2 linked regions of the Lepisosteus oculatus genome follow. The protein of the gene in region 1 purifies or fractionates together with the protein of each later gene. This does not show direct contact. Links are inferred from orthologs where the notes say so. Each region holds a gene or a part of one and is shown on either strand. Other genes may lie near its edges.

The links.
Region 2: the proteins of c1qbp (region 1) and prkcz purify together in Homo sapiens (affinity purification with mass spectrometry; 5 studies listed by BioGRID and IntAct, with this or other methods). This does not show direct contact. The link is inferred for Lepisosteus oculatus from reciprocal best matches to the Homo sapiens genes C1QBP and PRKCZ.

What each region holds. Positions count from the first base shown.
Region 1 is NC_090721.1:3,224,415-3,232,416, forward strand, and holds the start of c1qbp (complement component 1 Q subcomponent-binding protein, mitochondrial), read left to right. Parts: upstream 1-4,986; 5' UTR 4,987-5,167; coding exon 5,168-5,426; intron 5,427-6,032; coding exon 6,033-6,183; intron 6,184-7,200; coding exon 7,201-7,288; intron 7,289-7,418; coding exon 7,419-7,514; intron 7,515-7,937; coding exon 7,938-8,002. Other genes in the region: ATP-dependent RNA helicase DHX33, read left to right, coding at 1-68, 479-682, 856-942, 1,266-1,574.
Region 2 is NC_090720.1:3,964,393-3,972,326, forward strand, and holds the start of prkcz (protein kinase C zeta type), read left to right. Parts: upstream 1-4,921; 5' UTR 4,922-6,045; coding exon 6,046-6,116; intron 6,117-7,934. Other genes in the region: uncharacterized protein, read left to right, coding at 224-352, 1,086-1,241, 1,800-1,890, 2,912-3,068. UniProt on the Homo sapiens protein: Calcium- and diacylglycerol-independent serine/threonine-protein kinase that functions in phosphatidylinositol 3-kinase (PI3K) pathway and mitogen-activated protein (MAP) kinase cascade, and is involved in NF-kappa-B activation, mitogenic signaling, cell proliferation, cell polarity, inflammatory response and maintenance of long-term potentiation (LTP).

The sequences.
Region 1 (8,002 bases):
ATCAGGTCACCCTGACTCCTCTAGGGAAGAAGATGGCCAGTTTCCCTCTAGAGCCCAGGTTTGCCAAGGTGAACAAACGGTCAAGTGTTTATTCAGTGATCATACTCCATAACACCGTTAGCTCTTAAACACATGCTGTATGCAATGGATCAGGGGAACCCGCAGCAGCAAAAAATGCCAAAAGAGGAATTCAGGAGTGCTGTGAAGGACAACTTCGTTGCTACAAATCTGGAGTGCAAATTTCATATGAATGTAACTGTTTGTTTTTTCTCCCTTGGCCTGAATTGGCTTTGGAAAAAAGCCAAGTTTTATCTCTCAACAATCCATTTTATACTACAACAAAAACAAAAAGCTAATTGAAGTTCCCAAATGAATCTCAGGACATGAGAATGTTTACAGTGTTATACATATTGACTCCTAGACTAGACTTTCAATTGGGCCTGGTGTTTTTTTCTTACCCTTTTCTGTTTTTCTCCAGACAATCCTGCTGTCAGCGGACTTCTCCTGTACGGAGGAGGTGCTGACGATCGTGTCCCTCCTGTCAGTGGACAGTGTCCTCTATAACCCCCCTGCCCGGAGGGAGGAGGTCTACTCCAGGCGTAGGAAGTTCATTTCCAGTGAGGGAGACCACATGACACTGCTCAACGTCTACAGGGGCTTCAAGAACGTGGGCGGAAATAAGGTGGGGGCGTCCTCAAACGTTCCAATACCCACAGGATTTAGATACACCTTTCTTGGGCAAACTGGCAAAACCAATATTGAAAGGGTTGGCAGGAGCTGATCTGCAGTATTATGTATCGCCAAGCTGTCTTTCCATTCTACTTTTTACATTTTTTTCCCCTTCGCGTTTTGCAGGATTGGTGTCGAGAGAACTTTGTGAACAGCAGGAATATGTCTCTGGTGACAGACGTTCGCAGTCAGCTGAGAGAGATCTGTGTGAAGGTATGAGACTTTGTGGATGTGTGGTCACCAATCAAAAGGGCTCTGGCTGTTATGAAATGTATTAAAAGAAAGGTGTTGCCCAGGAGATGACTAGAGAGTTGGGCACCTCATAATGCAAAGTATTAAAATAGAGCAGAGCAGTTTGGTGTCAGAGACTTTATTTAGGAGGTGTTATTTAGGGGTTATTATTTTGGTAAAAAAACATTCATTTTATTTGAAATCTGTTTTGGTTTTGCTGTTTGAGTTAAAAAGATGCGCTTGGCCTCACCCCTGTCATCATAATGTCTGATTAACTTCCCGGATTTTTATCCCCCTGCACGCAGCTGGGAATTTCCCCCGAGTCCTCTCGCTCCGATATGGGAAATGTCCGCCGCTGTCTGGCGCACGGGCTGTTCACGAACGCAGCCGAGCTGCAGCCTGACGGGACGTACATGACCTTGGACACTCACCAGCCTGTGGCCATCCACCCCTCCTCCGTGCTCTTCCAGGCCAAGCCGGCCTGTGTGGTCTTCAACGAGCTCCTGCACACTTCCAAGTGCTACATGCGGGACCTCTGCCTGGTGGACCCGGACTGGCTCCACGAAGCTGCGCCCGAGTACTTCCGCCGCAAACTCCGGGCGATCAAGAGCTAACCCCCCCGACCAAGAGGCAACTTGTGCACTAGATCTCAAGGCAGCATCTTGTTTTCACCCCACATTCACCCAAAAACAGTCTATGGTAACAGAGTAGCATACACTGTTGGATTACAAAGCATCCATCCATCCATCCATTTTCTAACCAATTCTTCCAGTTCAGTTTAGTGTTGGAACTGGAGCCTATCCCAGCAAGCAACAGGCTCAAGGCAGGGTACACCCTGGATGAGATGCCTGCTTACACAGCATCTTTGTTCCAAGATCAGTTGGTGGAATGCAACACATTTGGCCTTAGAGAGAAAACTCACTGTATCACGGATGTGACAAAGATAGTCTGGTGTTTGTGGTGAGAGTTTGGGACCTGTGGGGTTGTCTCCAAAGACAACTCTAGAAATGACTCACAGTTTCAGCCTGCTCGGACAACGTCTGACCTCCACTGACTCTGTTCTGTCACCTCTCAGCTTTCCCTTGTTTTTTTACTCTTCCTTTCTCTTTCTCAGGGCTAAATCATCAGCAGATAACCGAATATTAACTTAAGAACCAGCCTGGACAATGAATTCAGCCATGCAATGAGACCTTTTGTATTCTTTTCTGGAAGAGATGGGCTGTTGCTGTGATAGATCAGTCAATTATAAAGAACTGAGCCCCACAGTGGTAGGTTTTCCACAGTTCTCATGTGTCTGGCACAACCTTGCTTTTGTATTTGACTGCTGGCAGTTTCAAGAAACACCCAACTGCTATAAAAATAGGAATATGATTAGCTTCACAGCCAGACTGCTGAGCTGTGGAGCAATAAAGAGATGTGCATTTATTGTACCTTTCAATGGCAGATATTATTGTGAATCATCTCATTCCTCCACTACCTGTTCTGCATCTTCAACAAGTTGGAAATCTCCTGAAAAACTCATTGTTAATGGAAGTCTCTTTACTTATTCTATCATTTGGCCTTAAAATGCTTACATGGTTTGACTAGCAAGCCTTCTGCTGCTGGTATTACAAATACTGGTTGGAACATGACCAGTTTCCTCCTTTCTTTATAGTGATACAGTGCAAAAAACCCAGGGAGGAGTCAAGTCACAGGATAACCTAGGTTTTTTGGGGACGGAGGCATAGATTTATTTTTTTCTGTAAATCGTGTTATGATTCTTCTTAACCAACACGGATTTCTTCACATAGTTTCACTGTGATCTTGCCAATTTTAATATTTAGTCTCACGTGCTCCCTTTAACCTGAGAATTGGATCTCTGAAACTTTGTGAACAATGGCCAGATTTTCAAATAACCCATGTTAAAGCTAACGTCATATGGCATTAACAATTACCCACAGAAAGAATGATAAACCTTCACTTTGACCTCCACCCTAGACTTGACATATTTAGCTGAGGGAACAATTGCACATTAATTGTAGATTAAACTGGTGGACCATTATTTTTCTTAAATTGCTTGTTATTTCAATATTTAACTTCTGGGAAAGCAGGTAATACTTTTAATAGAAGTCACTCATAGTTTAATCGCATGCCATATTGCTTTTCAGTGGCTTTACACCACTGTAGCATTTCACACATTTCGGGTGTAAAGATCTGTTACACTAATGTTCACTGGTCCAGTAGAAAATCACTCTGGTTCTTAAATAGGTGAGTTTATTAGTGTTCACTTCCCTCTGTATCTGTCCAGCACTGTTGAGCAATTGCTGATTTACCCATGTAAAGTAGCAGTAGGTTTGCAGTGCATGTTTTAGAAGTGAAAATAATAAGTTGTTAAATGTAGTTAAATGAACCTATATTAGACAACAACACAGGGAATTGAGTTTTAAGCAAGGTAATTAAGCTCCAGACAAATTCAGTCCACTTTTTCTAAGGTGATATTCTGTTTCCATAATTAAAGAGAAAGGTTATTCTCGAGGCTTGAGCTATTGTAGGTTGTTTTAAAGTGGGCTCTTCAGTACCTTAGAACAAAAGGGTTGTCAGGGTGTGGGTCCACGTTTTTGCTCAGGGTTAAGGATTTGTCACACAACGTCATAACAACAGCAGTGTTGCAACTATGCTGTTTATGCTGATTAAGAGGGGCTTAGTCAAGAGCAAGTATGACATGAACTACTTTCAGGACGAGAATATAAAATGTGAGTATTAGGTTTGTGCGTCATGAGAGCTGTGAGAATAATAGATGCTCCACAGCAAGGCTGGGGAAAAGGACAGATGATCAGTTGTTACTGTTGTATTTCATTATTTTATTTACAGAAGGAAATACGGTGAATGTCCTCTTGAAGAAAATACACAAGTTCAGAAGGTTTTCTGTGTAAATGGGAGGATTTGGCTAAGAAGCCTCAGAGCAGATATTGGTGCAAAGGGTGTTTTGAGTAGGTTCTTTTGATGGGCACAGAATTGTATGAGTGACACAAGGCTTTGTAAAATAAAATATTTATAATAAAGACTATTTCTACACAATGTGGTGTAGAATTTGTTTTCTATATGTGTTGCATGTGTACTGTATATGAACTTCTTAAGTTCTTCCTTAACAGCTCACACATCCCACACATTTAGTCTCTAAATCCTTAAAGACGAGCAGATGTAATGATGTAATAATTTTTATGTAATAATAATGTGGGAAGTGGGGTGCAGACCAACTTCATGGGCGGAAAGCGCTGTCTCAGGGGGACCAGTGTGTCTGCAAGATGTTCTAAGTCACCAGAATCTGAGGATTGATTATGTACTGTAGGTCATTAGGAGTAGAGTTAGCATGAAAACCTGCAGACACACCGCTCTTGGAAGACCAGAATTGCTCATTCTTGCCCTAGTTTAAATAAGGCACAGTACCACCTTTATACCACACCCTTACTACTTCAGGGAGCAAAACTGAAGACCTGCACCCACACAGTCTAGGGTTACGCACAAAAGTATAAACGTCTTAAGCGGTTACACTATTCATACACAAAGTATGAATCGAAAGTCAATCGGTTTGCTTTAAATTTTGTAAGTGTTCAAATTTTACCATTATTTTTAAGACTTCAAACTAGCATTCCAGGAAAAAGGGAACATGGGATAAAAACAATCCAAACTACCGGTCAAACAAGGACACGGGCTGTGTTGCACAGTTGAAGAATACGGTTCGTCTAGAATACATTTTGCCACAATACACATGTATTTGTATTAGAAAAGGGCACTATTTATAGCACAATTTTAAATGTAGTTAGATTTTAAAATTATAAAAATTGTAAGATAAAAATAAAAGTGTTGAGGGAAAAAAAATCACATAACACCGGGTGAAAAGCTCTTAGGATATTTCTCTGGAAAAGTAATGATAAATAGTTTCCAGCCACTCCAGAGGTAGAAAGATGAGCACGGAACTGTTATTCTACTTAATGCGTTTCTACGACCATATTTTAATAGCGCACGGACATCTTTTTCCAGTTCAAAGGTAAAAGGTCACTGCGAAGGAGGAGGTCAGAGCGTCCTTTCTGCCGACACGTGGTTTCCAGTAGTTTCTTAGCGGTTTGAGTCTGATCAGTGGGAGAAGGGTATTCCGTCGCACGCTTTTTTGGGGGTGACCTCCGATTTCAGTCAAACTTCTTCAATACTAGCTTAGTCGTCTGAAACCATGTTGAAGTCTCTTACCCGGGCCCTCGGCGTCGCCACTCGTATTTCCACCAGCACAGCCGCCTCTTCCACCCGGGTGCTGGAGCCTCTGCTCCGGCCGGCTGTCGGCGCTCCCAGCTCGGCAACAGCTCGGCCCTTCACCCGCTCTATCTGGATGCTGTGCAGTAGCGGCTCCTCATCGGAACACAGGCCGGGGTTGCTGAGCAGTAGTCGGGGTATCCCATCGGTGTCGTGCGGCTGCGGAGGACTTCACACGGAAGGTAAGCATAAAGAAATAATCCTGCGAATTATTGTGGGATTCTGGGGCTCTGATGGTATATCCGGGACGATTGATGCTGCTCGTGTGCGTTAACCCAGATGTGTTTCTTACAAACAGCGTTCAACCGGTTTTGTTACAATCACGTTATGGACAAAAACGGCCTTCAAGAAGATTAAAATGAGTTTTGCAAACGGTAATTCCGGTTTGACATTCGGGGCTACAGTATCCCCACATGATCAGTGAAGTGTCGAAGAAGGACTTGAAAAACCTTTTGTTTTATAAATCCGGGACGTTGAATTGTAATGATGCTTCGACACACATGCCCTTGATGTTATTTCTGTAGAGTGATACACGCTGTGAAGAGCACTCCAGACTTCTGTGCAATATTTCGATTATAGGCGTGAAGCATTACATTCAATGCACTGTCCATCTGTAATTATGAGTATTGTGTATACATCTAAACACCTTCATGGCAAGATCGGTAGTTTCCTACTGTATGCTTTATAGTTTTACATTGAAAATAAAAAAAAACTTAAGTGATGTACCTTCTCTGTATCTGTGTAAAAAAAACTAACAATGCATAATCGGAAACACATTTCTTTGCCAGGAGACAAGGCATTTGCAGAATTCCTGTCAGATGAGATTAAAGAAGAGAAAAAGATTAAGAAGCACACAGCGCTGCCCAAGATGTCTGGGGGCTGGGAGCTGGAACTCACAGGCACCGAAGCCAAGCTAACTAGGAAGATCGCTGGAGAAGTGTAAGAGAAATGTTGAACCCTTTCTTCAGAACCTCATGGCACACAAAGTCAGCCCCGGGAAGGCAATTTGTTCCCCGAAAAGGATGATGATTGAATAATTTAAACCCCACTCTTCGCATGCCATACTGCATTTCAATTAAGATTAAGATTGACATTTGATTTCAATTTCTCCACCTTTAGGGTGTCTTGATGTGACCTTCCCTTGTATATCAGATGAGTCATCCAATACACCGTCTAATCCTTCCGACCGACACAATCCACCTCTTTAGTTAGGTGTTAAACCAGTCTGTCCTTTCAGGATCTGGCTGAAGTCAGCTGGTTGACTATTTAAGTGAAGAATCTATTCATCAGTGGATGAATCTGAATGTCAGAATTCCTCCTCAGAGTTGTGTGTTGTAAGTCATGCACGTTGGGCAGTCATGAGTTGTAATTACTGGGTGGGTGAAGTAACATGGCTTATGGCTAAAACACCAAAAACCTTTCTTAACAGTCAGCATCAAATGCTGTTATTGGTTTTATGCAGTTTAGCACAGGAAACCCTGAATATCATTAAATGGGAAGAAGTCTAGAAGCAGCAGCCTATTGATTTGACATTAAAAGAAGCTGGGGGGGGGGCAGCATTGCTGTCAATGGGGCCCTGGGTTCAATTCCAGTCCTGGGGTGATACTGCGTGAAGTTCGTGTGTTCTCCCCGCATTTGTGTTTGAGTTTCCTCATACACACTGGTGGGTTGATTGTCCTCTGAGAAAAATGTGTGTGCCCTGTTATAGGCTTGTGTCCCATCCAGGGAGCTCCCCTCCTTGCACCTGTTGCTTGCTGGGATAGGCACCTGCTCACCTAAGGAAGCAGCAGCTGGGAAACAGGTGGATGGGGAAAAACCCAGGGAATGGGGATCATCAAAGATGAAGATAAATGCCAAAATATTATCAAGGACTTAAGTTGCCTCAAGCTGAGATTAATGCTTTGACCTCTTGCCAGGATGCTGATTATTTCCTTCTGTCTTTTCTCAACGCTGCAGGGTGTCGGTCACATTCAACATCAACAACAGCATCCCACCCACCTTCGATGAGGAGCCAGAGCAGGGCCAGAAGCCCTCCGAAAACGAGGTGAGCGTGCACTTGGTTCTGCCTGTGTAGAGTCCAGGTCTTGGTGGCGTGAGTGGTAGACTTCTCTCATAAAGGGCACTGGGATATAACCAGGGTCTTTATGTGATTGTTCCCCTTGTGTTTCTTCTAGCCTGAAATTGTGTCAACACCCAACTTTGTCGTGGAGGTGGCGAAACAGGCTTCAAACCAGTCCTTGGTGTTTGACTGCCATTATCCCGAAGATGAGGTGGGTCTCTCGGTACTCTGCCCTGGTCATTCATGAATGGGCACTGATCTTCACACTGGGCTCAACAGGAGTTGCTGACATGGCTCAGAAAGTGAACAGTCATTGTTGATGGTTTGCACAGGTGATTATTTCATGTGTCGCATATGGACTCACCTGAAATAATCATAGAATCAAGTGCAATAGAACTATGTTATCTTTTATTCCCACAGTTATTTGGTCAATTAACTGTTTATTTTAATACCTATATATATATATTGTTTTGTTTTTTTCCCTTTTTATCATACATGGATGTCTCTTAATGGGTTAGTGTTCTGTTAAATGTATTGTGTTACCCACTTGGAAAGCAAATTTCCCATCTGGGACTATAAAGTATAACAAAGGAGCGATTAATTGCGGTATTAACGGGCCGGGTTTGCTGTCCAGGTGGGCCACGGCGAGGGAGAAGAGGAGAGTGATATCTTTGCCGTCCGAGAGGTCAGCTTCCAACC
Region 2 (7,934 bases), on another chromosome or scaffold:
TGGCTTCTCTTCCATGGTTCTGATTTGAAATCTCAATTTTTGAAATGTTGAAGTGAATTGGTTAACCCCAGAAAACAGAACAGCAGGAGTTTCAAAACAAACAAAACCGGCTTAATTTGCATTTCAGCACTGGGAAAACAAACAGTCGTCCAGATTGCCTCTTAACCAGACAGGGCTTAAAACATTGTTGGGATTTGTTCCTTAATTTTGTTCCATTTTTCAGGCAGTCGTGTTTCCCAGCACTGCTCTCCACAAAACAGTGATACAGAGTGCACCAGCTGTTCCAACAGCACATACATAGATCACCCCAATGGCTTGACAAAGTGCTTAGACTGTAAAGTCTGTGACTCAGGTGAGCAAAAACTATCTTCATGGGGTGTATTTCATGGGGAGGTGGAATGTGCTCTCAAAACATAACCTTTGCAGCAAAGCAGAGAAATATAAAGAAAATACCTTACTCTAGTTTGGTGCCATGTAAAGTTTCAGTGATTGTTGATAAAACTGTGTGTAATCCGTGTGGTTACTAATTCAAGTCTGCTTTTTAGTTCTGACTACACCAGACCTAACAAAATGTAACTGTAGCAAAATGTGCTTTTACAGAGTAAATAGTATACCATCCTGAGAGTGTCAGTGCAAGGAGACATCAACTTAGTTTCATGAAGAATAATGACTCCAAAAATTGCATGGACACAAGGAGGGATCACACTGTAGTGGACATATGTTCATCTAGTTTCATTGCCACATGATGTAGTTTTCATCATACAGTTGTCTGAATAGGTCAGCTAACTTTAAAAGCCATGTGTTTACAATCACACGTGCGTACAGTCTAGAGTAAATGTGCTTATGCTGTATTTTTGGGTTGTGATAGATTAACAATAGAACATTTATTTGTCCTAGTTATTGTCCTGAGTTTTCAGCTTAAGTAAAAAATGTTCAGTTCTGTGCTCATATCCTCAGCAGCCTTATAATTGTAGCTAGGATTAGAAATAGAGGGATCTTCTCAGTTACCCCCCCCGGATGATCCAAGTGTAATTCAGAATTATTGACACGATGCTAGAGTGTTGAAACACTTATCTTGTGCTCAGAGCTGGGTCTTTTTGTGAAGTCCCCCTGCACCAAAGTGAAAAACACTGTCTGCCACTGCTTGAAAGACTTCTACTGTGTGGACGGCAGCAGTGAAGAATGCCACCTGTGTCCTAAACACTCCGTCTGTCAGCCAGGACAGTGGGTTAAGCAGAATGGTAAGTCAGAAACCTGGTTCCTTTCTGCTTCTATTTATGTGTTTTTTGTAACCAGTCTGTTTTAATTTGGTTTGATACACGGATGATCTTTCAGAACACAAGCCAAGTGTCAACTAAGAATCGGTTATTGATTTATATCATGTACTGTTTAAGCTAATCATAAGATGGCTTGGTGACAGAGTGGCTAGCATGGCTGCCTCACATGGCTGGGCCCTGTGTTCAGTTCCAGACCAGGGGTGCCGTGTCTGTCCGCCCTGTGTTTGTGGGTTTCTGCTGGGAGCTCTGGTTTCCTGCCACAGTCCAAAGACATAATAAGTTAAAGGGAGTCTGGGAAAACTGGCCTTGGTGTGCATGCAAGAGTGTGTGCGTGTGTGTGCCTGTATTTGTGTCTGTCTGCCCTGTGATAGACAGGCGTCCCGTCTAGAGTGTCTCCTGGCGTGTGCCCATTGGTTGCCAGAATAGACTCCAGCTCCCCTGCATGCAACCCTGAATAAGAATAAATAGACAAGAAATGGATGCACATGTTAATCATAACTTATGTGTTATTAATATGTTCAGGAACAGCTAAATCTGACACCATTTGTGAAGAATGCCCTACTGGCACATTTTCAGCAGAAGAAATGTCATTATCATGCACACCCTGGACTGTGTAAGTGTCTACATCTTTCTTTTGGTGTCTTGTAAAATAATGTCAAAATGAATGCACTAATATTATTTTTTTACTGATACTGCGGTATGTTATGAACATTCAATATCTCATCTTGACATCTTGACACTTTTGAATTGTGAGTGCTTTTATTTCCAAGAACATAATCCATGAGCTTTTGCACAGGGACAGATCATGATGTTCCTGTTTTTTGGCATGAAGGTACAGTTCCAAACCAGGATGGTGCCGGGAAAACTGAGCTGAGTGAAAATTGTAACCCGTGGTATTTCACAACCAGAGACAAATTGGTTGAAATAATATATTCTCCATGTATATGGTTTTTCCCCCAGACCAGGAAGTGCAAAAGGACTGTTTAACCCATTCCAGTCCAGTGCAGCATCTTAGAAAAGATATTCCGTATACAGTAGAAGCAGCTGATTCTAGGACTGACTACATGTTTTCCATACTCCCCAGTCACACTGCCACTACCCACCAGAATTCTGGTACTAGATTGTGGTGAACGCCTTCCTGTCATAACAGGAAGATGGATTGTAACCTGTGATATCCAGGCTATCTAACAAATCTTGATTACCGGGAGTCATTAAGGAACTACATCCTACAGTCATGAACAGAGTCAGAAATAGCTCATGAAGGTGAATGGCCTTTTAGTTTTAGACCAGGGCTCGATATCTATGCTTAGATTAAATCCAGAACTTTTCTCACACTCATATGTTCCAAGTTCTTTCTTCATGGGGGAGTAAAGATCAAGTACCTGTATGAAGTATATGCCTGAAGTCTAGTTTAGTAAAAGCACATGTAGAACCAGAATCAGTATCTGTCTTGGCCTCTTCAACAGCTCTTCTGTGGAAATCAATAGGGATAGACGATGAACAGTTTGCAGATGAGAATAAAATAATACAGTAGCAGGGCTTCGAAAACCAAATGTTATTTTTTTCTTGTGTTGATGTGTTCTCATACTGGTTTATTCTTGTATCATGTGTGTGTATTCTTTTGTCTTTTCAAGGTGTTCAGGTGGTGTCCTGTCTAGAGGAAATTCAACCACTGACGTAAACTGTAATGCATCCGTATCAAGACAGCATACCATACTTGTTGTTTTCATAGTTGTTGTTCTGGTTTTACTTGTATTTTTGATGTACAAACTAAAAACTCAGAAGTCTTAATTATGTGCTTTCAAAGCTATTTAAATATATTGTAAAGAGATTGTGTGACATAAAGTAATGTACCTCAACAGTCAACATCATTCTTGAATAGAATTGTATCCATGAACACAGTCATAAATAGTGCATGAATACCCCTTCAGCTGTATATCTTGGTTTCTTATCTAGGCTTAGATTAAATCCACACTCTATTCATATATTCCATGTTCTTTCTTCATGGAGGGTAGAAAGAAGAACATTCTGTCAAGCAGAAAGCTGAGATTAGTTAATCGATTTGCAATTTGCAGCTTCTCATTTAATGTGGTCCCTACTTTCAATTGGAAATTAAATTGTTTTGATTAAATCCCCATGTTTCAAAACTATGCCAAACTTGAATGGACATTTTTAAATGTAACCAATTTACCTATAACATATAGAATCCACTAATACTAAGTGTTTAATTTTGAAGACATTTCTTACATCGTACTTCTCTTTAGATGGAGGGTTGTATCCAGTGTTGCATTGTCAGAGCACACTAATAATAATTAATGGCATTTATTCACTGAAGTAGGTCCACTACATCCATCACTGAAGTTGGGCACCCTCCTAGGTGATGCCCAATACTACATGTCAGCAGCCCCAATACAGATCAGGCGGAGAAGAGGAATTACTTCGCTAATTAAGAGGGAACTTTAGGGAAACCAGATTATCCAAGAGGTGCAAAAATTGAAAAAGAACTGAAGGTCACGTGAATGTTAAATTTAGAAAAGTATGTAGCATTTTTGTGTATTTTTTGTGAAATAAAATGTTAAAATAAAAAATAATAATAATAATAATTATTATTATTATTAAAAATAAGCACATACTAGATTCTATACTAACACTGGATTCCTTTATATTTTCGTAATTTGCATTACTTTAGAAGAAACATATTGTACTTTCTCTGAATATGTATGTAAGAACTGAGACAGGAAAATAATATGTATGGAGTTTTTTTTGTATTTCTCGGGTTTTTCTATTGTTTGAAATAAAAAATAATTGCACTGTGAACGGCTTTTTATTCCAGACTGTTGGTTTAAGTGTTATATGCAGTTCACACCGCAGGTGGCGCAAACGGCAATTGTAAGAGGACCTCTGCTTTTATGTGGAACTCTTCTCGTAAATTTCAGACACCCTAGAAATCCTCACTTAGAACACCTTGAGGCATTATAATTACAGATCTGGACCTGATTAAGATTTACTGAGATTACATAAAACCTTTTGTACAGCACGACCTTCCTAGAGCAGCTCATTAAAGTACGTTCTCTTGTTGTGCGCAGTCCGCACTTGAACAATGCATTCTTATTTGCATCCAATGTATAAATGCCACCTGTCAAAATAAGACAAAACGACATTTTATTGCTGACTGTAACGTCCTCGCACGGGCAATTTATCGCTGCCCTTTTTAAATTCATTGCATGTATTCAAAACATTTGGATACTATAGATCTTCGTTTTGTATGCATTATGCGCAACGAATGTCCAAACCAAGATATGAATTGGTTTTAAATAAATGCTTAGAGAACTTTCTTCTGTCCTGTTATATTTAGCAGCTATGGAAAAGAAAAATGCATGATATGAGTTGTTCAATATGTTCTGTTTTGCGGGCTTTTGGTTGGACACAGGTAAATCCAACAGTCGTCTGATTGGATAAGGAATTTTCCGTTCACTTTTTAATTCAGGTAAATCCCGAACGGAATTCCAATTGGACGGGGGTAATCCCACGAGTTTTTGGATTGGCTACAGGTGTTGCCTGCTCTTCCCGGATTGGAAAGCAGGTGTGACTCCATCGTTCCGATTGGCTCCGGCTCTGGAATTCTCCGCCATGTTCCCTCAATCCTCCCGGGAGACGCTAGAAGCCGTCTAAACAGAAACTTCTGGAGTTGTTTATGATTGCTGCGAGCTGGGAAGAAAACGATACAAAAATCGAAATAAATACAAGCAATGCACGAGAAAAACAATAACTACCGGGACTAAAAACTCATTTCTGAGAATTTTTAAGCACCGAATTGTTTTTTAACTGGTTTCCTGAAGTTTTTGATTTGGCTATACTTTGCTCAGTAAGATAGCTGTCGTGGGACGGTAAATGTTACAGTTTTACTAACTTCAGATGAATACGTTATCAACAGATTTCTGTATTTTTCCCCCCCGATAGGCAGAACAACATTCTGGTGACGGACGTCTTGGAATAACATGGATTTTTGGAATAAAAAGTTGAAACTTGGAAGTGCACGACTAAATTCCAGTTCAGCCTAATTTAATTTTCCAGTTATACACTTCACATGCTGAACTAATATGTCTATTTTGTCCTCTTTAGCGCAATCATTTAACAAGCCATTGTAGGAGTGTAGTGTAACTGCTGAATTAAAGCTAAATATAATATTGCAACGTACGTCATCTCAGATCATTTATTAACTGCGTAAAATCTATTAATGTTGAGCTGGATGTTAACGCGATGAACATTTGTGTCTAACTCAAGCGGAAAATGTATTTTCCATCCTGTGGGGAATGAATGATTTTATGATTTTATAGAGTCCTCCTTTAAATACAGCAGCTCATTATTATGTGGGTCCGGCAGTTACAGTAGTGTCTGTACCGTACTAGTGTTTCGAGTAATTGCGTTTCAGGAGCAACACAACAGGTGGAATTGAGGAAGGCCAGTCCAGACTTGCCAGTGTCCCTCTGACTACTGTGTCGCGGAATAAGTAACCAAGGCAGGTGACAGGTGACCGAATTCCTAGAAGACGGCAGCATGATACAGAATCGGGGAGAAAATAAATGAGATTTTTAACCTTTTTTTTTTTTTAAAAAAAAGCGCAACCTGTTGAATTCGCCCTGTCGGTTGTAGTCGTTAACACGGAGGGAACCAACAACAGAAGATCCTGTTTCACGTACTGTATTTGCTACCCCACTTCTGTCGGATTACAGTATTGGCTCTTTATATTTAATATTTTTGGAGTACAATGCCTACCAAACAAGGATCCGTGATGAGCATGCACCTGGAATATGTGCAAATTAAGGCACATTACGGCGGGTGAGTGTAATAAGTTTAGGTTTTGTAACCTGATAACTGTTAATTAATTAATGAATTGTCAACAGCCCACGTTAATCGGCTTCCTCTAAATAAACCTCTGTAACGGGACTTTCCACGTTAACTGAGCAGTGTAGTTTTAATCCCGTTGTTGAGGGAATTTTATTTAGATGAACTGATGGTAACCACAGATGAGGTTTGAGTGCTTTGCGATTATTGGCTTTTCGATTTGGACTGCTCTCTCAACCCTTTTCTCAAAGGCTGAAAAGCAAGACAATTCGCCATACTTAGACTAAACATCTTTAACTATTAGATATGCATGTAAACAGTTTCCCCAATTTCCTGACTCCCCTTTGGCTATTGTGAATGACGCTGTCTTCCTCTTCAGGTTGATCAATAACTTTTAAATCTCTTCTCATTCGTTGTTGGCAAGGTTATATGAAAGTTTGAGGTACATTGTCTTACAACATGTTTGCGGATGGTCTTTAGATACTGCCCTGTTAAGTTCTTACTTGGGTATATATAAGTTCTTACTTGCATTATTTATCTGTTGCCCAGTCGGGGGTTTTTTTACGTTTCTGTCTTGTTAGTGTTTGGATGACATTAACCGTGTAGTGGTATGTGTCTTTCAAGGTGCCCACTTGTGCTTTGTGGGAGTTAATTTTTAACTTACTTTCTGTACGCGAAAGAGGCAGATCCCGAAACTCTGAAATCAGGTGTTGCAAGAGTTTGTGTGCGCTCAGTATTACATACAGCTGTCAACGTCACACAGATACTGTTATTTCTGAGTTTCTTAAACTCACGCTTATCCGGGTCATATAAAATATAAGAATATCACGATGGAATTTGGATAATCGTTCCATCTACTTATCAAATCCGTAATGTTTTTGTTTACTAACCTCTTCATTGTATAGGTTTGATGCTACACTATACAACTAATTTAACTTTGGGATAGTTTTTGCACTAACTGCAAATTTCATACTTAGTTCTTCTGTATGCGCTTGGACAGTTGTGTACTTTTCGATTTCTCTAATTTCAATGGAGATTAATTTTAATACTGCTTTCTCTAGTCAGTGTTTATGATTAATCCCCTTTAGTTCTTGGGTTTATTATTGAATCTACCTAGAGTCAAAACAAACTGTGACTGTCTGGGTCTGTGTAGTTCAGAACAGCTCATATATGTAAATACATCAAATGGCTATAGAATTCCTCCGTTGTTTTTTGATGTAGAACTACAATGACTGAGATAAAGTGAATACTTTGTCTCGAGCTTGAGTTAAGTAAATATAGATAAGAGAATATAGTGAGCATCATTTAAGAACACAGTTTGTTTACAAACTTTTTTGGTCCATAGAAAATTCTGCCTTTGGGTTTCTAAAGGCAAATCTTAACACTTGACTATAAAAGTTTTATAGAAAGTTTTAAAAATAATATAAAAGTGACCTTCATTAGAATCAGTGTTTTTATAGAAGGAGAACAATGGAATTGTTCTGACAGAACTTTACCAGACTACAGTCTTGGTAATTTGCTGAGTAGTGCAAAAAATGTTAGTTCTGTTGCTTGTTTAAAGCATTGACCTACTGAGATATAGCGTTAATAAGTCACCAGATTCTAGCATTGGCCTGTTGGATTCTGTTTGGCCTGGAACCTATTGCAGGTGCATGCCAGTTCAGAAAATGACAGCAGAGCAGCTGGCTGAAAAATGACCTGTGTTACACTGTTCCTGAAGCACTCCTTGACTGAAATTGACAGGAGGGGACAGTGTCTTTAAACCAGCTTTCCACACATAATGGAATATTGTGTCTAGTGTGAAAGGCAAGT